7 linked regions of the Oryctolagus cuniculus genome follow. The protein of the gene in region 6 binds, or shares a complex with, the protein of the main gene of each other region. Links are inferred from orthologs where the notes say so. Each region holds a gene or a part of one and is shown on either strand. Other genes may lie near its edges.

The links.
Region 1: TAF4 (region 6) and TAF3 share a complex: the UniProt entries of both Homo sapiens proteins name them as parts of the TFIID basal transcription factor complex. The link is inferred for Oryctolagus cuniculus from reciprocal best matches to the Homo sapiens genes TAF4 and TAF3.
Region 2: TAF4 (region 6) and TAF7 share a complex: the UniProt entries of both Homo sapiens proteins name them as parts of the TFIID basal transcription factor complex. The link is inferred for Oryctolagus cuniculus from reciprocal best matches to the Homo sapiens genes TAF4 and TAF7.
Region 3: TAF4 (region 6) and TAF11 share a complex: the UniProt entries of both Homo sapiens proteins name them as parts of the TFIID basal transcription factor complex. The link is inferred for Oryctolagus cuniculus from reciprocal best matches to the Homo sapiens genes TAF4 and TAF11.
Region 4: TAF4 (region 6) and TAF13 share a complex: the UniProt entries of both Homo sapiens proteins name them as parts of the TFIID basal transcription factor complex. The link is inferred for Oryctolagus cuniculus from reciprocal best matches to the Homo sapiens genes TAF4 and TAF13.
Region 5: the proteins of TAF4 (region 6) and TAF12 are in contact, whole or in part, in a crystal structure (PDB 1H3O), measured with the Homo sapiens proteins. The link is inferred for Oryctolagus cuniculus from reciprocal best matches to the Homo sapiens genes TAF4 and TAF12. Residues at the interface, in NP_003176.2 of Homo sapiens: Phe872, Leu873, Leu874, Pro877, Leu878, Arg880, Arg881, Ile882, Ile885, Gly886, His889, Gly890, Ile891, Thr892, Glu893, Leu894, His895, Asp897, Val898, Tyr901, Val902, His904, Ala905, Thr906, Gln907, Gln908, Arg909, Leu910, Gln911, Leu913; in NP_001128690.1 of Homo sapiens: Val57, Leu58, Thr59, Lys62, Leu63, Leu66, Val67, Glu69, Val70, Glu74, Met83, Leu84, Ile87, Ala88, Asp89, Phe91, Ile92, Glu93, Val96, Thr97, Cys100, Ala103, Arg104, Ser108, Ser109, Thr110, Leu111, Glu112, Val113, Lys114.
Region 7: TAF4 (region 6) and TADA2B share a complex: the UniProt entries of both Homo sapiens proteins name them as parts of the TFTC-HAT complex. The link is inferred for Oryctolagus cuniculus from reciprocal best matches to the Homo sapiens genes TAF4 and TADA2B.

The regions. Positions count from the first base shown.
Region 1 is NC_091444.1:75,261,815-75,265,314, forward strand, and holds part of TAF3 (transcription initiation factor TFIID subunit 3), read right to left. Parts: intron 722-3,500; coding exon 472-721; intron 1-471. UniProt on the Homo sapiens protein: The TFIID basal transcription factor complex plays a major role in the initiation of RNA polymerase II (Pol II)-dependent transcription.
Region 2 is NC_091437.1:28,859,471-28,862,776, reverse strand, and holds TAF7 (transcription initiation factor TFIID subunit 7), read left to right. Parts: upstream 1-1,283; coding exon 1,284-2,333; 3' UTR 2,334-2,806; downstream 2,807-3,306. UniProt on the Homo sapiens protein: The TFIID basal transcription factor complex plays a major role in the initiation of RNA polymerase II (Pol II)-dependent transcription.
Region 3 is NC_091436.1:134,556,532-134,559,080, reverse strand, and holds the end of TAF11 (transcription initiation factor TFIID subunit 11), read right to left. Parts: intron 2,334-2,549; coding exon 2,246-2,333; intron 1,900-2,245; coding exon 1,803-1,899; intron 1,156-1,802; coding exon 1,025-1,155; 3' UTR 501-1,024; downstream 1-500. UniProt on the Homo sapiens protein: The TFIID basal transcription factor complex plays a major role in the initiation of RNA polymerase II (Pol II)-dependent transcription.
Region 4 is NC_091438.1:61,355,567-61,359,697, reverse strand, and holds the start of TAF13 (transcription initiation factor TFIID subunit 13), read right to left. Parts: upstream 2,801-4,131; 5' UTR 2,701-2,800; coding exon 2,674-2,700; intron 1,824-2,673; coding exon 1,745-1,823; intron 1-1,744. UniProt on the Homo sapiens protein: The TFIID basal transcription factor complex plays a major role in the initiation of RNA polymerase II (Pol II)-dependent transcription.
Region 5 is NC_091438.1:143,057,361-143,061,393, reverse strand, and holds the start of TAF12 (transcription initiation factor TFIID subunit 12), read right to left. Parts: upstream 2,801-4,033; 5' UTR 2,654-2,800; intron 292-2,653; exon of another isoform or gene 190-291; intron 1-189. UniProt on the Homo sapiens protein: The TFIID basal transcription factor complex plays a major role in the initiation of RNA polymerase II (Pol II)-dependent transcription.
Region 6 is NC_091442.1:1,313,606-1,317,105, reverse strand, and holds part of TAF4 (transcription initiation factor TFIID subunit 4), read right to left. Parts: intron 2,487-3,500; coding exon 2,339-2,486; intron 2,079-2,338; coding exon 1,964-2,078; intron 1-1,963. UniProt on the Homo sapiens protein: The TFIID basal transcription factor complex plays a major role in the initiation of RNA polymerase II (Pol II)-dependent transcription.
Region 7 is NC_091433.1:3,121,707-3,126,006, reverse strand, and holds the start of TADA2B (transcriptional adapter 2-beta), read left to right. Parts: upstream 1-1,500; 5' UTR 1,501-1,734; coding exon 1,735-2,004; intron 2,005-4,300. Other genes in the region: CFAP184 (cilia- and flagella-associated protein 184), read right to left, coding at 1-1,106. UniProt on the Homo sapiens protein: Coactivates PAX5-dependent transcription together with either SMARCA4 or GCN5L2.

The sequences.
Region 1 (3,500 bases), on a different chromosome or scaffold from region 6:
ATACTCAGAGGAAGCTCTGGTTCTAAAAGTTCATTTCCATGTAATATGCAGGCCCTGGTATATATTCTGGATCTTAGCCAACACAATGTTCTAATTAGTGCTGTGCCTCAGAATCACCAGCTGGCTCCTAAGATCTGCATACATTACAGAAATCATACTCTATGTCAATAATGTGATCAAGAAATTCAGGGTGAAATTTAAAGATCACTATTCATTTTTACACTTATACATTGAAATTGTTACATATAAATAACTCATATTACAAAACAAGAATGAATAAAGAAAAACAATGCTTTGTCATTTACAGAGACTGAACAAAATATTTTTCAGCCAACAGCTCAAAAACGCAATCATTTCAGAAGCATTGCTTTTGAAATTCAATAATGATACATATGACACTTCCTCTTTAAAACATTTTATGATAAAAATAAAAGTAGGCTCTCCTAAACTCTGAAAACAAAGCATACGCACCACGTAAGTGCTGACCGTCTCTGTCACCACGCTGCGCACGGGAGCTTTGGAGCTTCCTGCTCCGGACATGGCGGGGGCTGGAGAAGGCATCAGAGCTGGGCATGCAGTGGCCTGGGTGAGGAGTGGCAATGGCATGGGGGTGGGGTTCACGTGCACAGGTACAGGGGCTGGGGCTGGTGGTGGGGTTTTAGGTCTATTCAGAGAAGGAGTCGGCTTAGCCTCGGGGGTTGGAACAACTTTGCTGATGACACTGTTAACAAAACAGAGAAACAGAAAAGTCAAAATGGGCTAATCAGATCAAACCACATACTTGAAGACAATATCACCAAATAACTTTCTTCTAGTAGTAAAACACCCCTTTAGGAGCCCAGAGATAGCTAACAAACTCACCAGTTCAAGGTTCTTCATCAACTAACTTCTCAATTTAGAGTTTTTAATTTTCCAAAATTGCCCCCAATGTCTACATACTTAAGACTTTTTAGCAACCGGTACACCCGGCTTGTTCATTGAAATGTAACAGCGGGCCGCTTCCTGCAGAGGATAGCATGTGCCTCTCTGTCGCCTTTCAGCTCCGGAATGCGGCTTCTGTGGCTGATGAAAGGTGAGCGAGGTGTGCCACTTCTCAGAAGCAGCTTGGGGAACCATCCCGAAAGCAAGCTTTCCCCTCCCTCTGCTCCACGTCCTTTAATGACCCACATGGAAAAGACTGCTCTTTCCACTCAAATTCCAGGATGAAAAAGATGCGGAATGGAGCCAGGGCCCATGCAGCGCAGCGCGGGAGGGAGACATAAACATTGGTTGTGGGAGGTGGCAAGCTTTCTGAGTTGTTAATTACCACAATGCAAGCCAGTCTAAACTGGTGGACATTGTGGCTGAAAACAGAGGTTAACATTTATCTCTTAATTCCAATGAATGAATACCCTCAATGTCATTGAAGACATTTTCAGTTCTGGTTTTGTCTGATGGCCGGTATTGAAGATGTTAAGATCCTCAGAAGGGCTGCGGAGACACGGTGAGTGGCAGGAGGGAGGGATGGTTTCCTCAGAGTACAACAGCCGCTGTAGCTCCTTTCCAGTCATGCTACCAACTAATAACTAGAGCTACATGACGGTGATCCTCTTCATTAACAATATCTTCTTCATGTAACTCCTATGAAGTGGAAGGAGTACTGGACTCAGACTTAGGCTACGTGAGTTGAATGCAAATCCTGCAACTGCCACAGATTTGCTAATTGTGACAGATTCTGGGTAAGTCATTAGAAAACCTACTACAGTCACGTGCTGTGACATTTCAACTGTCAACTGCATAGATGATGGTGGCCCCAGAGAATGCCACCTAGTGATGTTGTAGCTGCCACAGTTGACAGCAAAAACCACTCAACAATATGTTTCCTTGAATGTATCCCCATGGTTAAGAGGTGAGGCATTACACTCGGCCCTTGACATGATCATCTTATCCAGTCCTCTCAAGAACTTCAAAGATGTTATGATTACCTAATTTTATAGATGAGGAAACTGAAGATCAGAGAAATAGAGGAATTTGAGGAAATGGGTGACAGGTTTTGAACTAAGGCCTAATTCCAATGTTCTTTCTTTCTTTCTTTTTTTTTTTTTTTGACAGGCAGAGTGGACAGTGAGAGAGAGAGACAGAGAGAAAGGTCTTCCTTTTGCCGTTGATTCACCCTCCAGTGGCTGCCACGGCCAGTGTGCTGCGGCCTGTGCACTGCGCTGATCCGAAGGCAGGAGCCAGGTGCTTCTCCTGGTCTCCCATGCGGGTGCAGAGCCCAAGCACTTGGGCCATCCTCCACTGCACTCCCGGGCCACAGCAGAGAGCTGGACTGGAAGAGGAGCAACCGGGACTGAATCTGGTGCCCCGACCGGGACTAGAACCCGATGTGCTGGCACCACAGGCGGAGGATTAGCCTATTGAGCTGTGGCACCGGCCTCCAATGTTCTTCTTTAAAAAAAGTTTCTTTATTAAAAAACTATGCATCATTGGGGCCGGTGCTATGGTATAGCAGATTAAGCCTCTCTGCCTGTGGTGCCAGCAATCCCATATGGGCTGTTCTACTTCCGATCCAGCTTTCTGCTAATGGCCTGGGAAAGCAGTGAAGGATGGCCCACCCACTTGGGCCCCTGCACCCATGTGGGAGACCCAGAAGCTCCTGGCTCCTGGCTTTGGATAGGCCAGCTCTGGCTGTTGCGACCATCTGGGGAGTGAACCAGGGGGTGAAGACCTCTCTGTAACTCTGCCTCTCAAATAATATTAAAAAAAACTATGTATCATTTCAAGCATAGAGAAAACGATATAACACACACTGAGGTATAGAGATAAACAATGATAGTCTTTTGTCATGCTGCTTAAGATGAATCTCTCTCTCACACCCCTGCTCCAGAAGCAACCACTGTCTTAAAATTAGCAGGTATGTTTTTGTAGTTTTGTTTTTTGCAGATGTCCATAAACATTAAATATGTTGTTATTATTTGATGTGCTTTAGCTTCTATATAAATATCACACTTTATTTATCCTTTGCAACTAGCTTTTCCCACTCAGTTTTATGTCTTGATTCACCCATGCTGACACATACAGATCTATATTATTTAATTGCTATATAGTATTCCAGGGTAAGAGTAAGTATATCCTTTTTTGTCCACGCAACTGAAGGTAGGACACAATCACTTGTAAATGTTGCATATTAATATGTAAAACATATTCAAGAATTTCCCTAAGCTCCATTCCCAGAAATAAAGTTGCAGGGCCATAGAATATGACCATCCTCATCTTCACTAAATGACTGAAACAGCCTCTTGCTTTTTACTATTCCACATTTATCTTCCTTGGCCTTGTTCCCTGACCAGCAAGGTGGACACACACACAGCTGCCTCACGGGGTTCAGTGGGAACTTCCATATGGAGAGCCACTTGAAACCATGAGCAGGCTTCAGGTGTTTGCTCCGGCATCACATGCATGCCTGTGGGTCCTGACAAGCCCTGCTGCCAGCCTGCATAGTTCCACAATCTCAAAATTCT
Region 2 (3,306 bases), on a different chromosome or scaffold from region 6:
TGGCCCCCTGGAGAGCTCCCAAGCAGAAATAAACCCAGAAGCACGGTCCCCCTCCGGGCACTTTCATAATTAAAATACACACAGAACCACACAGTGGACAGCATGCTCTCCTTACGCCATTGATTTGGGAACTTTTAAATCCACTTTGTGGTTAGTTACAAATTCCTGCACCGACACCAGAATGGGTAACTCCTGGGGAACACGCGAGACGTTTCCCGAAGCAAAACGCTTTCTGCAAACATGCCCTGACCCCCGAAGTCTAGACGCTATCTCGGCGCTTGCCGGTCCGGTACAAATGCTGTCTCAGCAGGGGGAGGCTCTGTGACCTTCCTGCAATCGTTATCTCTTATTTTCAAACTAGGTCGGCAGGAAACTTCATTTTCACGCCCTAAAACAATTCCCCTGGATCCAGAGAACGAGTCCCGGCCGGAATCGCAGCGCCGCGACTGCGTCTGCGCGCGCTCGGGGCGGGCCGTCTTTCCGCCCGGCCGTGCTGTCACTCACGGCCGCTTCCCGCCCCGCGCCGTGACGCAGCGCGGCTTTAAAGCCAGCTCTGCAAGCGGCTGCAGGCAGACGCCTGCGGAGCCTCCGGTGTGTGGCTCTGCGCAGCGCGTCTCGGCGAAATTTCGCGCTTCCCGCCGGGACCGAAGCATTGGTAATCAGTAGCGGATCACTCAGCTGAGCAGCAGGAAGAACAAAGGAGTCGGCGAGAGAAGAGGCTCCCCGCCGCTTTGCAGCGAGTGGCTTCCTCCCCCCGCCGCCTGCGCCCGGCGCGAAGCTGAATTTATAACCGTCACTGGATTGTAAGTACCCGAGGCAAAGGCAGCTCGCTGCGTCCCGCTTTTTCAGTTATGCTTGTTTCGGGAGGGTTTGGGTCGGTGTTGACTGCTTGTCCTAATTTTGTGCCGTCTTCATTCTGCAGGAGCCGCCATTTGCTTTCCTGCTCGCTCGCTCGCCCGCTTGCTCTGTCTGCATTGTCTGGAGGCGGCACCTAGAGGCTGGAACTCGGCATTGCAGCTCCAGGCTTTAAATGGACTTAATTCTCTGAATAAGCCAGTGTGTCGGTAACAAACAGCGGGTGTGGAGTGCAGCATATTTAGAGAAAAGATTTGTGGCTTGATTAAAAATTAAGACAAAACAGATGCTTAGCTACTGTTCTGCATAGAACCTTCTGTTGTTAGATTTTAATTCATAAGGAACTGGTCTTTTAAATTGTTGCAGTAGCTGAAACTTTTCAGTGCAGCAAGTGTTTATTAGGAGAAGGGAGTCAGAAAGAAGTGAAGATGAGTAAGAGCAAAGATGATGCCCCTCATGAGCTGGAGAGCCAGTTTATCTTGCGCCTGCCTCCAGAATATGCTGCTACTGTGAGGAGGGCAGTGCAGTCGGGGCATGTCAACCTGAAAGACAGACTGACCATCGAGTTACACCCCGATGGGCGTCATGGAATTGTCAGAGTGGACCGGGTCCCTCTGGCCTCAAAACTGGTGGATCTGCCGTGTGTTATGGAAAGCTTGAAAACCATCGATAAAAAAACCTTTTACAAGACTGCTGATATCTGTCAGATGCTCGTGTCCACAGTTGATGGTGATCTTTATCCCCCTGTGGAGGAGCCAGTTGCTGCTGCTGACCCCAAAGCAAGCAAGAAAAAGGATAAGGACAAAGAGAAAAAGTTCGTCTGGAACCATGGAATTACTCTGCCTCTAAAGAATGTCAGAAAGAGAAGATTCCGGAAGACAGCAAAGAAAAAGTATATTGAGTCTCCAGACGTGGAGAAAGAAGTGAAGCGGTTGCTGAGTACAGATGCGGAAGCTGTCAGTACTCGCTGGGAGATAATTGCTGAAGATGAAACAAAAGAGACGGAGAATCAAGGCCTTGACATCTCTTCCCCAGGAATGTCTGGCCACAGGCAGGGCCAGGACTCCCTGGAGCACGATGAGCTTCGGGAGATATTCAATGACCTCAGCAGCAGCAGCGAGGATGAAGATGACACCCAGCACCAGGACGAAGAAGATATAAACATCATCGACACTGAGGAAGACCTGGAGAGACAGCTGCAGGACAAGCTGAATGAGTCAGATGAACAGCACCAAGAAAACGAAGGGACCAACCAGCTGGTTATGGGCATTCAGAAGCAGATTGACAACATGAAAGGCAAGCTCCAGGAGACCCAGGACAGGGCCAAGCGACAGGAGGATCTCATCATGAAGGTGGAAAACCTGGCTCTCAAGAACAGATTTCAGGCTGTGCTGGATGAGTTAAAACAAAAGGAAGACCGAGAAAAGGAGCAGCTCAGCTCTTTGCAGGAAGAGCTGGAGTCACTCCTAGAGAAGTAAGAAGAATTTTGATCATTTTGAACCTGATGGTTCCACACTAAGAAAATCTTCATCACTTTTTCTGGATTTTAAGATTTTGCAGTAGTTCCCGTTCCTTCTAATGCTAGAAGTTCTTTTTAAATTATCTTGTTTTCAAGAAGCACTTTGCTAGGTGTTCATTCTATAGAATTAGGATTGACTAGGCAGTAATGTAATTGTTAGGAAGTTGTAGGGTTAGTGGAATGAACAGCTGAACCCTAATATTCACAGCTGCATTGCAGGACTTTGCTGCTGTTTCCCCATTTCCCGGAAGCTGCTATTGCTGCCATGTGGTGCCTTCTGAGATAGGTAAGAACCTAGTGTAGAGGCAATGAAGTTGGTTTGCATATGTTTCCCTAACTATTTTCTCAGTTAAATCAAAGCAGTTTCACACATGTAGAGATGCAAATAATTTCATAAGGTTTCTAACATAAATAAAAGCGACTAATTTTCAACTTATGTGTCTTGATTTTTTCATTGGTAATAGGAGTCAGATAATCTTTTGAGGTGGTTTCTCGGTAGAGTTTAATGATTGGTCAGTTTGGTCCTGCTTTGCAGGTAAAGAAGCAGTTGTGGGTTAAAAAAAAAAAAAAAAAGGAACATAGCAGAAATTGGGAAATGTCATCTTTGCATTCTATTAAGGTTCTAATCCACCTGCTCCATCAGGAGGCTGGAAAACATGAGATACAGAGCCATTCTAAACTACTCTAGTATTTGTAGATGAAGGCCTGCTTTACCCTTTTTTTTTTTTTTTTTTTTTTGACAGGCAGAGTGGACAGTGAGAGAGAGAGAGAGAGAGAGAAAGGTCTTCCTTTGCCGTTGGTTCACCCTCCAATGGCCGCCGCTGCAGCCGGCGCACCGCGCTGATCCTGGCAGGAGCCAGGAGCCAGGTGCTTTTCCTGGTCTCCCATGGGGTGCAGGGCCCAAGCACCTGGGCCATCCTCCACTGCACTCC
Region 3 (2,549 bases), on a different chromosome or scaffold from region 6:
CGTGACACTGAATGATAGAGAAGAATGAATTCCAGGGGTTTGCCAACTATATACAGTCGCCTTATATCTGCTAATCACTGTCAATAAATGGTCAATGATGGTCAATCAATGGTCACTCCATTCCCCTCTGTTTGAGGAAAACAATGAGAATGTATCTAATGAACTGGAATTCTGGTCAGTATTGGAAAATTTTAATGTTGCAATAGCTAATCAAGCTGAGTGTACTGGTTCTGTGAACCACCTGAAAAAAAGCAAATTAAACTTATTAAACAATAATGGTGTGATATATCTGCTTTACTGGAATCTGGAAATATATGGGCTTTTACAGTGTTTTGAGCAGTGTTTGGAATGCTCTTTTGTGACTTCTTAACAGTTATAGTAGAAAGTGGGAAGGACTAAAATTTTCACAAAAAAGCCAAGAGCAGTTTCATTTGGGGGCCAAAAATGAACGCTGAACTTCTCTATTCAAATCAACCATAAAGAAAATGAGTACACAGATGGCAAGTTGGAAAAGAGTTTACTGATCACTCACCACAATCCACAGAAAAATCTTAAGTGTTTACAATCACAAATCACTCCACTAACTGCTATCACCGTGTCCTTCCTGGTAGAGTGTCACAAGTCAGAAGTTTCCAGTTGTTTCATCTACATAAACCAGATGTGAGAAACAACCTAAGTCCCAGCAACTTTAGGCTTCAATGTGAAACCGCCCAAGCTCTCTTGGGAATGTTCTCTCGCAGAAGGCAGCTTTCCAGCCCAGAAGATTGGTAAGGCCATGCGCTGTTGTTCTCCAGCTAGCCCAAAGACATCTCAACACCTCAAAATGCTCAAGACGTCCCAGAATTTAGTCATGGCAGGTGTGAAGCAGGCTGCATGCCTTGTAGGTGTGGCGAGAAAGACATTAAAATTGTCAGGGAATCCTTGGAGGACTGAGGTACGAAAGCACCAGTGCAGAAAGTCTCAGTAACAGAAAGGCTGGAGCCAGGATGTCTTCCGTCGGTAACTGATCTTTCTAGGCTTTGGTCTAGAAGAAGATGATTTTTTTGTGCTTCGAATTGGGGATTTGCCCCTTTGATTTTAACCTCCGAACAGCCTCCCTCATATGTTTGGGTTGTAGTGGTGGCATTTCTCCCCACTTCTCACACACGTCCAGTGCTAAACAGGGCAAAGAGAGTTTCTTTATCACACAAGGACTTATTAGTCACACAATCTTTTTGAATCCTGGAATTCTTGTTAACTCTTCCCAGCTTGTAACAAAATAAATCATGCCTCTTCCCTTCTAAAGAGAATGCTATACAATGTGTCATGTTAGTTTTAGTATAATGTCCCACACAGGGCTTTATTCCAGGCAACAGTTTAACACATATTCACTGCTTAAAAAAGATTTTACCAGCTGGGTGAAATCAGCTAGACTTTTCACTGGACAGGCAGGGCAGTCCCCAGAGGCGCACAACGTCAGTGACAACTCCCCACCATCCCAGCTGGTCAGCCCTGGTGGTTGCTTTCTCTCCATCTTTAATTTTGGCAGCAACAACGAGCAGGTCCACTAGACAAAAATATAAAATCTGCTTCTACTACTCTGGGCTGAGGACAGGAATCAGGGAGGGGGATTTCCTAGATAGTTCTTACCCCCGAGTATGGAAACTTTCCAGGAATAATGCTCTATTGACTATAGGGCTACATACCTGGTCAACTTCTAGTACAAGTGGAAATTCCCACAGATGCTTAATACAGTCCTTAGCAGAGAGATTCTTGAAAACAAGATCATTACAGGTACAGTACTTGTACCCAGCACCACTTACCTTCTTCTACCACCTCCCCGACGAAGACCTTGGAAATACCAGACATGGCAATAACAACATTCTGAGACACTGAGGTGCCTGTGATAGACTGAATCAGCTTGAAAGAAGAACAAAAATTCTGTGATTAAGACAGTCAAAGACTGACATTAGCACATAGCACCAACAAATGAGCTTTGCGCTGGAAAAGTGTTTACTAATGGCTACGGGCTAAGACTATTAAAACAAGGACTCGGGTGTACAATGACTTACTTTATATGTTGAGATACCGTCACTGGCTTACAGAAGTGGCACTGATCAAATAATCGAGCTCATGTTATTTTTGTTTTCCTAGATAATATACTAGCTTGCCTAAAAAGTCATTTCAACATGCAAGTGGACACGGCTCTTGAGTCTGGATCACTTCCAATTTAAGATGGAAATGAAGTGTGGTGGTCCATCCTTACCCTTTTAATGGCTGCCTTCGGGAAAGCTGACCGGCGATACATTTCGTAACGGTTCAGCTGCTCCTCAGAAAAAGATGAAACCAGGATTCTAGACAAAGATTTGGGTAATTAAGTTGGTTTATAAAATTAAGTGCTAGATAGTTAAGTCAATAAAAGCAAGGCTGAGATAGCAAATGACCCTCAGGTAATCAATGGCCCCAGGCCTGGTGCTTGAGGAATGGAGATAAAAACATTTCTGCTTGAGAAAACATGAATCACAAACTTACTTTCGTCATTTAGGACAAGAACAACAATGTTGTTCCAT
Region 4 (4,131 bases), on a different chromosome or scaffold from region 6:
GGCTGACATTCCACATCAGAGTGCTTGTTTGACTCCCATCTACTCTACTTCGAATCCAGCTTCCTGCTGCTGTGATTCTGGAAGGCAGCAGGTGATGGCTCAGGTACTGTGGCCACTGCCACCCATGTAAGAGACCCAAATGGCATTCTGGGCAACTGGCATCCGCCTGGCCTAGCCAAGCCTCAGCTGTTGTGGGCATGAGCGAACCATCAGATGGAAGATCTCTGTCTTTTTCTGTCACTCTGCCTTTCAAATAAATTTCAAATAAAAAAGACATACTGATGTGCAGTTTTAACATCACATGTAAACTGCTCGTATCTGTCCCAACCTTAATAAACAGGTATTCTTAAATCTGTGTTGTCTCATCTCTCAATACCCAGCTATATAGATATAAAGGAATCCGTACTGGGAGATAAAAAGCTATTCTCATGATGACTTTTAAATGTTGTCCTGGACTATCAGCAGTAGGAACAGATCTCCTTTCTTCATGCTGCTGTCTAAAAAGGGTAAAATCTGTCTACTGAGGGAGTGGGACAAAGCACTAACACATTATATTATCTTCATGCCATTGTATGTCTCACATTGTTCCTCACCTTCCTGCCCTGTTCACTGCCCTTAGTCCAAAGTCTCAACTTAGCCCCTACCCTCAGCACCTGTTTCAGTGCCCACAGTCAAAAGAACTCCTGCTTCTACTGTTGCAAAGGTAAGGGCCAGGAAAACGTGGAGGTATATTGTTTTGTCCTGAATTGAAACACTGATCATATTTGTTAGGAAACTGGTGCAGTTTTATCCATGGCGCTATCTACACCATGATTTACATCCTATGCCCCGGTTCTCACAGCCATTGCTGAAAGCCATGTAGCCACATGGCCCAACCACCAGTGTCAAGCTCCACCCCCATCCTAACGGGATTCGCTGCTCCTGTTTCCCTGCCCGCCCTCTGGCAAAGTTTAAAAGGGCCTGTTCCTGAACAGGCGGCACTCTTGGCTCTTCTCTCCTGTTCTCTTGGCTCCTCTCGTCTCTCTTCTCTCCTCACTAGCTCCTCTACTCTCCGTGTCTCTTTCTCTTATACTCTCCTCTCCCTTTTTCCCTTCATCACCTCACCCTTCCGGTCTGCTGGCTTTTCTCAATAAACCCTTTCCCTTACTCCGGAGTTTGGTGTGTTTTTGTGACAGCCTAACAGAAAGACATAACAATATTCCCTCACTTAAATTCTGTACAATTTAAAACACAATTATACGTTAAACTGGGGTTAGTATCTGTGATTCAAAAATTAAACTGAGGGGCTGGTGCTGTGGCGCAGCAGGTTAAAGCTCAGGCCTGAAGCGCTGGCATCCCATATGGGCACCGGTTCTAGTCCTGGCTGCTCCTCTTCCGATCCAGCTCTCTGCTATGGCCTGGGAAAGTAGTAGAAGATGGCACAAGTCCTTGGGCCCCTGCACCCGCATGGAAGAAGCTCCTGGCTCCTGGCTTCGGATCGGCACAGCTCCAGCCATTGCGGCCATCTGGGGAGTGAACCACAGGATGGAAGACCTACCTCTCTCTCTGACTCTGCCTCACTCTGTAACTCTTTCAAATAAAATAAAAATAAATCTTTTAAAAAAAGGCAAAAATTAAATTGAACTTTACTGGCAATTTTGAGAATATTATCCTTGCAAACATTTTCAGAATATAAATCTATTCCAAAGGACATGTCCAAAAGTTTGCATGATCTATAATAAAATCACTGTCAAATACTACTTACATTCTTTAGAAAAGAGTCTCTTTCTTTTACCCTGTCCACCTTCTGCACCTCCTCCAATTTCTTCATTTTCTTCCTCAAACTAGAAGTTAAAATGTATATATAGAAATGTCAAGTGATTGCATTGCATTTGATATTTTAATAACTTGCTTTCATTTTTAACACTAATATCAGGCCAAAACGCTTAAAAGCAAGCACTAAAAAATCATGATAACTTAGCACTAAAGAGCCCTTAGAGACTACCTAGTCAAAATTTCAATTCCCGCAAAAATGGTTTCTACACTGTCCACAACAATCCTGCCTAGACACGTAAGCCTTTTAACAGCCGCAAGTTCTTTTTGTTTAAAACCAACTAAGTTGGTCTACTGCTAGCCAGTGTTGCCATTCAAGGACCGATACTGAATCAAAGCCTACCTCCCTGCAGCAAAAAAGGAAAAATTTTAACTAAGCACCTGCTTATACAGTGCTAAAACCTTTCCTTATCTGTTTTAACCTTATTTTATATCAAGAACAACCGATGCTGAAAGTTAAATAACTTGTTCGGTGAGAATGGAGATTTTGAAATCCAGGCTTCTGATTTGTGGTCCGTTATTTCTCCAACACTTCACAATAAATATCCAATTCTGTTAGCAGCTAGATTGTTGGTTCATTTAACGAGCACCAACAAATACGAGTGATTAGCTCTGACGATCGTCTAGTTTCACAAAGTGTCTAGCAGATTCAGCCCGAATCCGAAGGGAAAGGGGCTACCTTCCCACTACTTCACGTCCTGCCCCGGAGTACTAAAACCATGAAGCTGAAGGAAAAGACAAGCACAACTGGTCCCCGAACTCTCTCGACTGAATTCACTAAGGAAAACACCCCATTCTGAACTCTGCTTCCGTCACTAAGCCTGAGCGAAAGGGAGGATTGGGACAAAGGCGGTCACTCACGGTGGGATCTTCTTCCTCATCTGCCATTACACTAGCCCGACAACCTACTGTGCCGCGCCGGCTCGCTCTCAGCGGGTTTTTACTACTTCCGTTGCGTCACTTCCGGTGACGTAGGGGGCGGGGCCGGGTCCCCGCAAACACGCCTGGGAGGGGGAGCTGCCTAGCGACCGCTGAGAGAGACGGTCTGTAGGGTAGCAGCGTGAGCTCTGGGTTCTGTAATCCCGAGGAAGGAACTAAAATTTAGCAAACTGAAAGAAATGCACCAGGCAGTGTGTATCCTCTTATCACCCTACATCTCCTTGTGCGTGTTGAATCCACCTTTCCTGACCTGGAGCGTAGGAGGGCGATCCCGCGGTCTTGCTCTGAGGGGTGTATTTTAAAGTGCAATGAGTTACGCCTGCACTATTGATCCCAAGCACTTTGTTAATTATTGTGGGGTACTATATTTCACTACTAGTTCTCAAGGGGGCGCTATCCTTAGAGACGATTTAAAATTTTCTGGAGAAGAATTTGGGTTTTAACAATGAGAACACGCAGTAAGAGGCTGGAGTTGACATAAAATATCCTGCAACCTAAGGGATGATGCCACACGATAAAAAAGTCCAATAATACACACGATTTCTCTATGTCCTGCTGAACATTCAATGACTGAAAATATTATTTTATATAAACTATTTTTCCCATGCTTTTAATGAACATTGGATTTCCTGTGACTGTTACTTCTTCAAAATTGGTGATCTGTTGCATTTTGCTTTGTTTGGAACTTATTAAGAGGAAATACTGCCACCAAAGGCAATATCGCTTGTAATTTAAATAGTGCTCACCTGGAATCTGCCTACATTTGTAGTTCCTACATTCGAGGTAAATTTACATCTAGGTACAAGCAACCACATTGTTATTATACCTCCTGTGTTGTCATGCCTGAGAATTTACGTGTTAAAAACATATTAATAGGCCGGCGCCGCGGCTCACTAGGCTAATCCTCCGCCTTGCGGCGCCGGCACACCGGGTTCTAGTCCCGGTCGGGGCGCCGGATTCTGTCCCGGTTGCCCCTCTTCCAGGCCAGCTCTCTGCTGTGGCCAGGGAGTGCAGTGGAGGATGGCCCAGGTGCTTGGGCCCTGCACCCCATGGGAGACCAGGAAAAGCACCTGGCTCCTGGCTCCTGCCATCGGACCGGTGCGGTGCGCCGGTCGCAGCGCGCCGGCCGCGGCGGCCATTGGAGGGTGAACCAACGGCAAAGGAAGACCTTTCTCTCTGTCTCTCTCTCTCACTGTCCACTCTGCCTGTCAAAAAAATAAATAAATAAAATAAAAAAAATAAAAAAAACATATTAATAGATTCTTTTATATTTATTTCTTATTTGGGCATTTTTTGATAAGTTCTCATTTTAGTTTCAGGATTTAACAATTTTCAGCATTTTGCCACATTGTATTTTTTAAAGATTTATTTATTTATTTG
Region 5 (4,033 bases), on a different chromosome or scaffold from region 6:
CCAATGCTGGACCACAAATGAAGTGAAAGAGAACATTTTAAATATGCAGATGAGAATGTTAACTCAGGAATAAGTTTTTTCTATCTTGAATATCTATGCTTCTGTGAAAACACATTTTAGTTCTCCTTGAATATTATACTACATATGTACCCAAATCAGTTATAGTCCTTTTTTTATGTTAATATTTTTAAAAATATGGAATGCTTCATGAATTTGTGTGTCATCCTTGCACAGGGGCCATGCTAATCTCTATCATTCCAATTTTAGTATATGTGCTGCCAGAGCGAGCACAATATAGTCCTTGATATTAACAAAATTTAGAAGGAAGGTGTTGGAGTTTGTGGCATAATGAGTTAAGTCACACTTACAATGCAGAAATCCCATAGCAGAGTGCAAGTTTGAGCTCTGGTCTATCCATTTCTGATCCAGCTCCCTGCTAATGCACCTGACAAACAGAGGAAGATAGGCCTCTGTCTCCCATATGGGAGACTGGGATGGAGTTACTGGCTCCTGGCTTCTGCCTGGCCCAGCACTGGCCACTGCAGCTATTTGGGGAGTGAACTAGCAGACGGAAGATCTCTTTCTGTCACTCTGGCTTATAAATGAATAAGTTTTTTTTTTTTTTTTTAAGGAAAGTGCTTTCATTCAATAATATGCTTGTATCACTATTACTTCTGTTTTGTTGATGGGCAAATCAAGACATGAAGAATCCATTTAGAAAAGTAGAAGCTGTAGAGACACACAGAATTGGGGCTGGCTCATTCAGTCCTATTCAATTTCAGGCAAAATGCTTAACCTCTCTGAACCTAGTTCTTTATCTGTACAATGGGACTAACAATATCTAATTTGTGGGGCTGTAATAATTAAGTGACACAGTAGGTGAAAAGTGCTTAAATGGTACCTGGTTAGTCTGAGTAGGTTTCAGTAAAAGAAAAAAAAATACTATTATTAAAAAGGAGAAGTAACTGGTCAAGTCTCCACACCATCCTTATTTAAAAACAGCCATCCCTTGTGGTGCAGTGGGTTAACTTGTCACCTGCAAAGCCAACATCCATTATGAATGCTGGTTCAAGTCCCAGCTGCTCCACTGCCAATCCAGCTCCCTGCTAATGCGCCTAGGAAAACAGGAGAAGATGGCCAAAGTGCTTGGGCCTCTGCCACTCATTTGGGAAATCCAGAGGGAGCTCTGGGCTCCTGGCTTCTGCCGGGTCCGGCCTTGGCAGTTATGGCCATTTGGGGAGTGAACCAGTAGATGGAAGATCTCTCTCTCTCTCTCTCTCCCTTTCTGTAACTCTTTCAAATAAATAAATCTTTAAAATAAACAAACACAGCCATTCCTAGTAAATATTTTTGCTATAAATGTAGGGCACAATTTTCTAGATAGCTTATTTTAAAATAAATAAATAACATTAGGTTTCATTTAAAAGTTTTCTTACTGGTGACATTCACTGTTTCAATGTCAACACACTAAGACTCAAAATAAAGCATTAGAATCTATCAGAATCTTCCTCCTGAGTCTGAAGAGAGAACAAAGATTCTAGAAGCACTTTCCAAGGAACATTAACCAAGCGTCTCCTATTTACCGTCCACAGGATACTTGATCAAAATTATGCTCTAAGTAACCACTGTCTCACTGTGACTCTAATCCCTCTTTGGACTTCGGGTCCCTTAAATGTAAACTAGGCGTTGGAAAGAGATGGTCTTTTGGGGCTCTTCCATCTCTGATATTCTTTTATTTGAGATACAGAGCTCTGTGCTCCGTCAGGGTTTAGTGGAAAGAAATTTAAAGCACTTATCAAGTATACAACTGGGTTCAAAGTGTTTTCAACTTCACATCCGATTCGCAAGAATGAAGCAGAAAATGAAGATGCTTCTATGTGGGCTTCCAAGATTAAGTATCTGACACACACAAGCCTGCCAAAAGCCAAGCAGGCAGCGCGAAGGAGGACTCCTCCTCCCCTGAAAATAGAAATGTATACAGAATACATATATCCATCCCTGTATCCTTTAGCACTCTGGGTCAGAGACTACTTGCAAACGGATCACTCTCTTTCCCCAGTCCTCTCTCTTTCCCTTGAAGGCTGATCGCTTACACCCACAGCCGCTTCGATTCTCCGCTTTTAAGGAACTCGGATCCTCACAGCCCCGTTCCTTCCGAAACTTGGAGTCTCAAAGCCCGGATCGCGTGCCCACAGAAGCCCCAAGTCTTCTCCGCCAGCTTCGGCCCCTCAGGAAGCTAAGTCTTCGCAGCCCACCCCGGGTCTTCACGGTCCCGCTCCTGCCTCCTAGGAGCCCGAGTCCTCACTACTCCACTTTCACCTCGCCGGAGCCCGTGTCTTCACGCGCCACTCCGTTCCGACCCTTTCTCCTCTCAGGAGCGCGGGTCCTCACAACCCTGTCCCTCTCAAACCTCTCTCCCTTAGGTGCCAGGGAACTCGCATCCGTCCCCGTCTCCTAAGTCCCGTCGGCAGCCCGGACCCTCACAGCCGCGTCTCCTCCGAGCGCGATCCCCTTAGTCCCGTCCCAGGAGCCGGATTCCTCACAGCCCCGTCTCCTCCACAGCCTGGTCCTTCAAACAGTGACCCACTGTGGGTCTGGGTCCTGACTCCCTCCTCCCGCTCTTCTTCCTCTACTGCCAGGGCCCAACACTCACAGGCAGCAGCGTCTATCTCCCCATGATATGCGGAGACTGCCCCAGTGAAGCGTTCGTCTCAGCAGCCGGTCCGACTGCGCGGCCCTCCCCGAGTACTTCCGGCACCGCTCCCCGCCTCCAACCCGGAAACGCGCGGCTCTTCCGGCCGGCGGGCGCGCGCCTGGCTTGCGCAGGCGCACACCGTCCTCCGACATGCGGTCGCGGTGCAGGGCTGGAGCTCAGCTTCGGTGGCCGCCGTTTTTCCCGCGTGCGGTTGTCTGGCAGCGTGGGCGAACGCTGTGTCTTCTGCCCTGGCGTTTCGAACCCTGCCCTAGGTGTTGCTTCCAGACACTGTTTGTATCACCCGGTAGCATCATCGATAACTGATGCCCTTGGATGGCTGTGAGGTCGCCATTTTTGGTTAATGCCTTTGTCGTGGCATCAGGACGGGGGTGTCACCTGGGACTGCAGCATGCTGTGTGTATTTTTTTGGACTCTTGCCGAGGAGTTGGCAACACAGTAACCTGGAGACGACAGACCGGTTCTGCCTGTGAATTTGCAGTGAAGCGCTTATTTTCCGCTAGCAAACAGTGCTAAGCCCCTACCTCCCATATGTCATTTAATTATCTAGAGGGAGCCCGTGAGAGATTAAGCCGGGGTCTGGCTGATAAGGTCAGAGCCTTAACTTGAACTCAGAACTCCCTCAAGCTTGGATGCCTTCAGTTCTTTCCTCTGCCAAATACTTTATGAGAACTGCTGTATTTTTGCTAGTTGTAAGTTTGTAAGCAAGACCTGGTTCCGGCATCCGTGGGTTCAGAGTAAGACGCGTGCGTGCGCGTGCATACACACACACAGGGCTGTGGCAGGAAGGGCTGCCAAGACCGGTGCAGCAACCTGCCCTCTTTGTCTTCCTGTCTCCCACCCTCATCCCACTACACTGCCGCTGGGTTTACAGTAAGAGCTTCGTCACATTAGGCTTTCGGCTGTCTGCCTCGCGTTGTTTCCCTGTCTGCTACATTCATTCTTTTTAGGGTCTGGCATATCAGTTTTTGTTGTTGAACTGTACATCTTTTCAAGGCCCAGTTTGAATGTATGTTCATTCAGCAAATGAGGCTGACGTGGCTCAACAGGTTAAGCCGCCCGTGGCGCTGGTTCTAGTCCCAGCTGCTCCACTAATAATCCAGATCCCTACTAGTGTGCCTGAGAAAGCAGCAAAAGATGCTGCTCTCCTTGGGGCCCTGCACCCGCATGGGAGAGCCAAATGCCAGATGGAGTTCCAGGCTCCTGGCTTTGGCCTGGCCCAGCCCCGCTGCTGCAGCCATGTGGGGGTGAAGCAGCGGATGAAAGATCCCTCTCTCTCCTTCTCTAACTCTGCTTTTCAAATGAAATCTTAAGTTTGTT
Region 6 (3,500 bases):
CACCTGTCACCCCCTGGCCGCTGGGACCAGCACGGGTGTGGCCGGGCAGGGGCCGACCTGGCTGTCGCACCCTCGCGGACGCTGCAGCACGGCCCCGTCACGCAATCTGTCTCTCCCTAACAGATGACAAGACGTGAGCGCTGCCGTGATCCGGGCCGGTTCTGCGCAGTTCTCATCCAGAAGGCCAGAATCCACGCCTCCCGTCAGCCTGCCCGAGTCTGCCCCCACGTCTCTCTGCTCCACTTCCGATCCCCTTCCTTGACAGCAAGAAACCAAGGCCCCCGGCAGCTTCCACCTCCTGATTTCACAGGAGCCTAATCCCCCCACGCGGCCACCAACCCCCAAGCCAGGCTGCCCTCACCCTGCCTGGCTCCACCCGGCTCCCTGGCCTACCCCGCCCGGAAGCGTAGGGCACGTGTCTGGGAGGGGAAGGCCCAGGAGAACATGCAAGCACGAGGCTGCACACCCACCGCTCGGCCGAGGCCCCAGAATCCCCCCCACCCCGCGGCTGTGCAGGCAGCAGTGCGCCCCGGCGCCGACACCAGGGTGCAGCCCACCTCTCCGACTGCAAACACCACACTGCCAGGTATGAAAACAAATTTATTTTCTTTTTTAGATTGGCTGATTATTTGAAAGGCAAAGTTACAAAGAGGCAGAGGCAGAGAGGAGAGAGAGAGAGAGAGGTCTTCCATCCGCTGGTTCACTCCCCAGATGGCCACAACAGCCGGAGCTGCGCCAATCCAAAGCCAGGAGCCAGGAGCTTCTTCCAGGTCTCCCACACAGGTGCAGGGGCCAAGGACTTGGGCCATCTTTTTTTTTTTTTTTTTTTTTTTAGATTTATTTATTTATTTGAAAGTCAGAGTTATACAGAGAGAGGCAGAGAGAGAAAGAGAGAGGTCTTCCATCAGCTGGTTCACTCCGCAATTGGCCGCAATGGCCAGAGCTGGGCCAATCCAAAGCCAGGAGCCAGGAGCTTCCTCCAGGTCTCCCACGTGAGTGCAGGGGGCCAAGGACTTGGGCCATCTTCCACTGCTTTCCCAGGCCACAGCAGAGAGCTGGATCCAAAGTGGAGCAACCAGCACCCATATGGGATCCCGGCACTGCAGGTGGCGACTTTACCTGCTGCACCACAGCGCTGGCCCTGAAAGTGAATTTTCTACCAGTTCATATAAAAAAGCCACTTGGGGGTCCCGCGCTGTGGCATACCAGGTAAAGCCGCTGCCTACGATGTCGGCATCCCATGTGGGCACCAGTTCGACACCGGGCTGCTCCACTTCTGATACCGCTCCCTGCTAGGAAAGCAGCAGAGGACGGCACAAGTCCTTAGGCCCCTGAACCCACATAGAAGACCCGGATGAAGCTCCTGGCTCAGCCTGGCCTAGCCCTACTGCTGTAGCCACTTGGGGACTGAACCAGCAGATGAAAGTACGCGCGTATTCTCTCTCTCTCTCTCTCCCTCTCTCACGCTCTCTCTCTCTCCATCTCTTCCTCTGTGTAACTCTTTCAAATAAAATCAATCTTGAAATAAAAGCCACTGGGGGTGCGTTTGTGCTGCACGGAGCCACCACTTGTGACAGTGGGATCCCACGTCCAGCTGCTCCGCTTCCAATCCAGCTCCCTGCTACTGTGCCTAAGAAAGCAGCAGGTGACGGCCCAAGGACCTGGGGCCCTGCGTCCAACGTGGAAGACCTCGAGTGTTCCTGGCTCCTGGCTTCAGCCCAGCCCAACCATCACAGCCACGTGGGAAGTGAATCGAATTCACAGAATTTCTCCTTCTATCACTCCGCCTTCCAAGTAAATAAACAAACTTAAAAAAAAAAAAAAAAAAAGGCAATTCTCAGCCACATGGCATGCACAAAGCAAGCCCCCGAGGCTAACCGGGGGCACAGGCATGGCCCAAATCCAGCTGCCAGGTGCCCTGCACCGCTCCTCCCCTGGCCCACGCGGCAGGCCCGGTCCTTACCGGAAGGAGCCTCCCCCAGACTCCTTGAGCTTGTTTTTCTGAGCAGCAGCTGCCTGGGCCGAGACCGCAGAGAGAGCTTTGGTTCCAGGTAACACGGCGGGTTTCACCACGGGGACTACGAGACAAGACACGGCGATGACGCGAGGCCCTCGCGGCCCAGCGGGAGACGCTCCTCGCCCAGCGGGAGCTCTGGCTGAGTCTGAGCTACAGTTACAAGGTCATCTCCTGGACTCTGTGGGTGCAGAATCATCTAGGACAAACCAGCAGCGACCAATGCAAAGCGTCTGTAAAGGCGCCGAGAGCGGCACCGGCACCGGCACCGGCGCACGCGCTCCTCCGGGAGCTGGCGCTGCTCGACTCCTGCCCGGGCCTCACCTGGCTGCAGCTGGTTCAGCTGGATCTGCTGGGGCGTGGTCAGCATGATCCGGCTGTGAGGCTGCCGCAGGGCGACCATGGGCGTCTGCGTCAACGTCACCTGCGGGGGCCGGATCAGGGCTCCTGGCTTCGGGGGCTGCTGGATCACCTGAGGCAGAGCCGGGGAGGGCGGTGAACGCTCTGCTGCCGGGGCCGTGGGGTCCTGGTCCCCAGGAGAGCCCTTCCCCTCACGTGCACACGCCGCCCCAGGCGAGACCTGCAGGAGCACCCTGCACATGCAGCTCTGAGGGGCCAGGGCGGGGCGGCACCCCCGGCGGGCACCACAGCGAGCCTGGCGCATTCCCCGCCTGAGGCTGGGCCGGGGGCCGTGAGGGGACACGGTGTGACATGAGCTCAGAGGCTGCTCCCGGCCATCGTCGCCTGGCAGCCATGCGCTGTTTCCCCTCCTCTCATCCTGCGGGGCAGCGGGAGGAGTCCTGCCTTCAGGTGGCCCTAAAGCGCCCACATGGCCGGTTCCCCCCAGCCCTCCCCAGCTGTCTTCCCTGCCCTTCCAGGAGCTCCACTGCCCACTGCCTTGAGTCCTGGACCCTGCCCTAGGACAGAGACCCTGACCCCCACTGAAAACCACACGGCTCAGCTCCACACAGCCCGACCTCAACCCACGGAGCCTGGCGTCTCAGAGAACCGCCTGTCTCACCGAGGCGCCTGGCGGGGACACCTGGCACCAGGGCGCTGGCAGAGGAGCCGCGGGCAGCCCGGGCTTTGCTCTGCCGCTAGGGCTGTGCGTCACTCAGCGCACGGCCCTCAGCACTTGCAGCGGGCAGCGAGGCCCAGACGCGCACCCCGGTGCCGGGGTCAGAGCCTCGCGAGAAACCCGACTCCCAGCAAGCAGCTGGTGGACACGCTCGCCTCCGTGCCGCGCGCACAGGCTGCTCCGGCCAGCGCTGCCCTCAGCGTTAGGCGCCGCCAGCTGCCGCCCCCCACCACCCCGTGCAGAGGCCTCAGCGCTCCGGGGCCCACACTTCCTCCCCACGTGCCCCACCCTGCTCCCCTCACTCTCCATCAACAGCAGAAACCTGGGAGACTTTCAGCTGGGAGACAAGGCCCGCGGGCACTGGGTCCCGCGTACGGTGCGGCCTCTCGTGGGGCCTAGGAGCCCACA
Region 7 (4,300 bases), on a different chromosome or scaffold from region 6:
GTCTCGAAGTGCGCCAGGCTCTGCCGCAGCTGCACGTTCTCCAGGCGCACGGCGCGCATCTCGCGCTCCTTCCTCTCCTCCAGCGCCTGCAGCTGCTCCACCTCGCGCACGGCCGCCTGGCGGCCGCCCCGCAGCCGCCCGCTGCCCATGGCCTGCAGCACCACCTGCCGCTTGAGCGCCTGGAAGCGGCGCCACTCGCGCTCCGCCCTGGCCAGCCTCTCGCCGGCCTGCCGCTGCAGCTGCGCCAGCTCCTGGTGGTACCACTCCAGGTCGTCGGCCTCCTGCTTCCGCAGCTCCTCCAGCACGGCCAGGTGCCGCACGTACGCCTGCTCCTTCTCGGGCGCCTCGGCCTCCGCGGCCCTGTCGGGCGCCTCGCCCGCCTCCAGCCCCTTCTTCCTGCGCAGCGCCTCGGCGATGCGGTGCTGCAGGTGCAGGTTGCAGCGCTGGTAGCGGCCGCGCTCGGCCAGCAGCGCGCGGTACTGCTCCAGGAGCTCGCTGCGCAGCTGGCGCTCCTGCTGCTGCTGCACCTCGGCCGACCACTCCAGGTCCTCGTAGTCGCCCGCCCGCTCCTGCGCCGCCGCCTCGGCCTGCGCGGTCGCCGCCTCGGCCGGCGGCCCGGGCGCAGCCTCGCTCGCCGTGGACGCCCGCAGGGAGGCGCGGGACGGGGCCCTCCTCTCCTCCCCCGCCGCCGCCGCCGCCGCCTCCTCTTCCTCCGCCGCCTCTGGCCGGGCCTCCGATGCCCGCTTGGCCGGCTCCTCAGCCCCGACCGTGGACAGCCTCCCCGGCTCCAGGGGCCCCTCCTCGCCCGCGGCCTCCGGGGCCTCCGGCCCTTCCGCGGCCTCGGCCTGCTCGTCCACGGGGGCGCCTCGCTCGGGGGCCTCTGCCGCCTCTTTCTCCTTCTCCTTGTCCTCCTCCTCCTCCTCTTCCTCCTTCTCCTCTTCACCCTCCCCCTCCTCCTCCGTCTCCGGCCTCGGCTCCTGCTCCGCAGGTTCACCCGGAGCCCGGGGGCCGGAGCTGGCCTCGATGTCGGATGGGCGCCAGGCCAGGCCTGCCTCGTCTCCGCTTTCCTCCATGGTGCTGACCCTGTGCTCCGTGTGGTCGTCCATCTCCGACCGGCTCGGCCAGGGCAGCGGACCTCGGCCGCAGGCTGTTAGGTTTCCCGGGGCAACCAAGGGCGCGCGCGGTGGGCCCGCCGATTGGCCCGCCAGCGGCTCGACGCCACGCCCCCTCAGCCCCGCCCCCTGAAAGCGCTGGCCAATAGCGAGCCGCGAGCGGGAGAGGCACGGAACCGATTGGGAGCGGGCGTAGGCCGGCGCCGCGAGGGGCGTGGCGCTCCGCCTCCCTCCCCGCCCGCCCCTCTCCCACCGCCAGGCCGGGGGCGGGGCGCCGCGCAGGCTCGGGGGCAGGCGGCGGCCGGCGCGCGCGGCGCGCAGGCGCAGAGCGGCGGGCCGGGTCCCCGCGCGGGGCGCCTGCGCGGTGCGGCGGGGCGACGGCTGTGGCGGCGGCGGCGGCGGCGGCGGCGGCGGCCGGGCCGGGCCGGGGCGCCTGCGAGCGGAGGCGGGCCGCGGCCCGGCGGGCCGGCGGCGGGGCGGCGCCTGGGCGGCGGCGGCCGCGGTGGCGGCGGCGGGCGGCGGCGGCTCGTGCGCGGCCGGGGCGGCGGGCCCCGCGGGCGGCCCGGCGCTGACGGCCGGCGGCGCGGCGGCGGCGGCGGCGGCGGGCGGCGAGCGGGCGAAGATGGCGGAGCTGGGCAAGAAGTACTGCGTGTACTGCCTGGCCGAGGTGAGCCCGCTGCGCTTCCGCTGCACCGAGTGCCAGGACATCGAGCTGTGCCCCGAGTGCTTCTCGGCCGGCGCCGAGATCGGCCACCACCGCCGCTACCACGGCTACCAGCTGGTGGACGGCGGGCGCTTCACGCTCTGGGGGCCGGAGGCCGAGGGCGGCTGGACCAGCCGCGAGGAGCAGCTGCTGCTGGACGCCATCGAGCAGTTCGGCTTCGGAAACTGGGTGAGCAGCCCCCGCCCGGGTCCCCGCGGGCCAGCGCGGGGCGGCCGCAGGTGCGTCCTGCGAGGGCGTGGGCCGGCCCGTGTGCTGCCCCGCCGGCTCCGGGCCTGGGCCCGCCGCCGGGCGCTCGGGAGGTGGAGCTGCACTGGACGCGCCCGGGCCGGCGGGGAGAGCCCGGGCCGGCTCCTCGGGGGTCTCCCGGCCCCCCGCCCCCACGCCCGAGCCGGGAAGGGGCACCCACCGCCCCGCGTCCCCCGCGTCCTGCGCCTCTCCGTGCGGTGAGCAGGGGCTGCCTGCGTCTCTGTGCGCAGCCCTGGGGTCTCCGGCTCCTCCGGCTGACGGTGGGCGCTGGGCCGGCCCTTCCCCCCGGAGCCCCGTCTCACTGCCCCGCGCCGGGCTCTGCTCTGTGCCGACGGCGAACGCCGGCCCTCGGCCCAGCCCGCCTTTCTTACAGCCTCGCCCGCGTGTCTCAGCGACACCGCCACTCGGGAGTCCACCCGTCACTCACGACACGCCCGTCAGGACTCCCACCCGTCTCGGGACTCCCACCTGTCACTCAGGACTCCCACCTGTCACTCACGACTGCACCTGTCACTCACGACTGCACCTGTCACTCAGGACTCCCACCTGTCACTCACGACTGCACCTGTCACTCACGACTGCACCCCTCACTCAGGACTCCCACCCGTCACTCAGGACTCCCACCTGTCACTCACGGCTCCACCTGTCACGGCTCCACCGGTCGCTCACAACACCCGTCGCTCAGCACCCCCACCGTGAACGGACACCCACCCCGGGCGCGCCTTTCCAGGACAGGTCCAGGCGCTAGCCTGCCGATGCCCCTGCTGACAGCCCGGCCCTGCCGCGCCCCTGGCGGGGTCCCCGACGGCCCGTGTCGCACACCGCCTGCGTTCGGCCTGCCCTTGCTGCGTGCCCGGTGCGCTGCCCGCCCGCCCGCACGCCCGCACGCGGGCGCTGGAGCTGTTGGCTGAGCTCCCCGTGGGCCTCGCGGGGCCTCAGCAGCCCTGGGCTGGGCCTTTGGACCAACCGGTCCGACACGGACAGGGCTGGGGAGGCGGAGCCTGCGTGCCGTGTGGCGCCTGGGGAGCCGTCCAGGTGAGGGCAGGGAGGGCCCTGGGGCGCGGCTGCCAGGGCCTGCGTGGTGCGGCGCCGGCCGGCCAGGCCGCGGGTGGTGCCGGCGCGGCTCTGGCCTCTGGCTGTGCTGCTGGGCGAGCTGCCTCACCCCTCTGGGCCTCCAGTCTGCGGCTGGAGCCGCGTGGTTCCGCCCGCGCGGGGGGCGGGGTCTCGCTGGGCCACAGCTCCGAGCCGGCGCCTGTCCAGGAGCCCGTGGCTTTTTTTTTTTTTTATTTTAAATTCTATTTCTCTTTGAACCTTTTCGTGATTTTTAATTCTATTTATCTTTGAACTATTTTTTGGTAATTTTTTATTATGTTTATCTTGGAACATTTTAAGGAAGATTTTGCTTTTATTTTTTGAAGGGCAGAGTTGGGTCCTCCGTCTGCTGGTTCACTCCCCAAGTGGCTGCAGTGGCCAGGCGGGGTCAGGCCGAAGCCGGGAGCTGCTTCCGGGTCTCCCGTCCTCGCCGCTTTCCCAGGCCACAGCAGGGAGCTGATGGGAAGTGGGGCCGCGGGACTGAACCAGGGCCCTGATGGAGTGCTGGCGTCGCAGGCGGCCGCTGTGCTCCGTGCACCGCAGTGCCGGCTCCGGTCCCGGGACTTCGTAGGTGCTGGAGCCGGGTGGCTGCGGGCTGTGGGGTTCCCGAGCCTGGGCCTGCCGCCCGGGCTCAGCACTCAGGACCCTCGAGGCTGGGGTGTGGCCAGATCCTGCGCTGGTTCCGTGGGAGCCCACGCACGGGACAAGGACAGGGCCGCGTCGGGGAGGTGGAGGGAGGAGCACGCCAGGCCAGAGGCCCCGACTTCAGCAGCAGGTCCTGGGTGAGGCTCAGCGGGAGTCGGGGGTCGCAGGCGGGGCGGGCTGAAGGCAGCCGAACCATCACAGGAGGGGCCGGGCCTCGAGGGGCCGTGGGAGTCGAGGTTTGAGTAGAATGGGACAAGCATGTGGCTTGTCTGGAATCTGGCCAGCCCGGCGCATTGCCCGTGCGCCCCGGCTCATCCTAGGAGGCAGGGGAGTCCCGAGGGAGGGCTTTCCCCGCGTGATGACAACGGCTGCCCCAGAGCTGGGGAGCCGGGGCCGTGCCGTCTCGGGGCCCTCTGTGCGCCGCCCTGCTGGACCTCGCCAGCGCCGGGTGGTGAGTGGGCGCGGGCGGGCCACAGGGAGG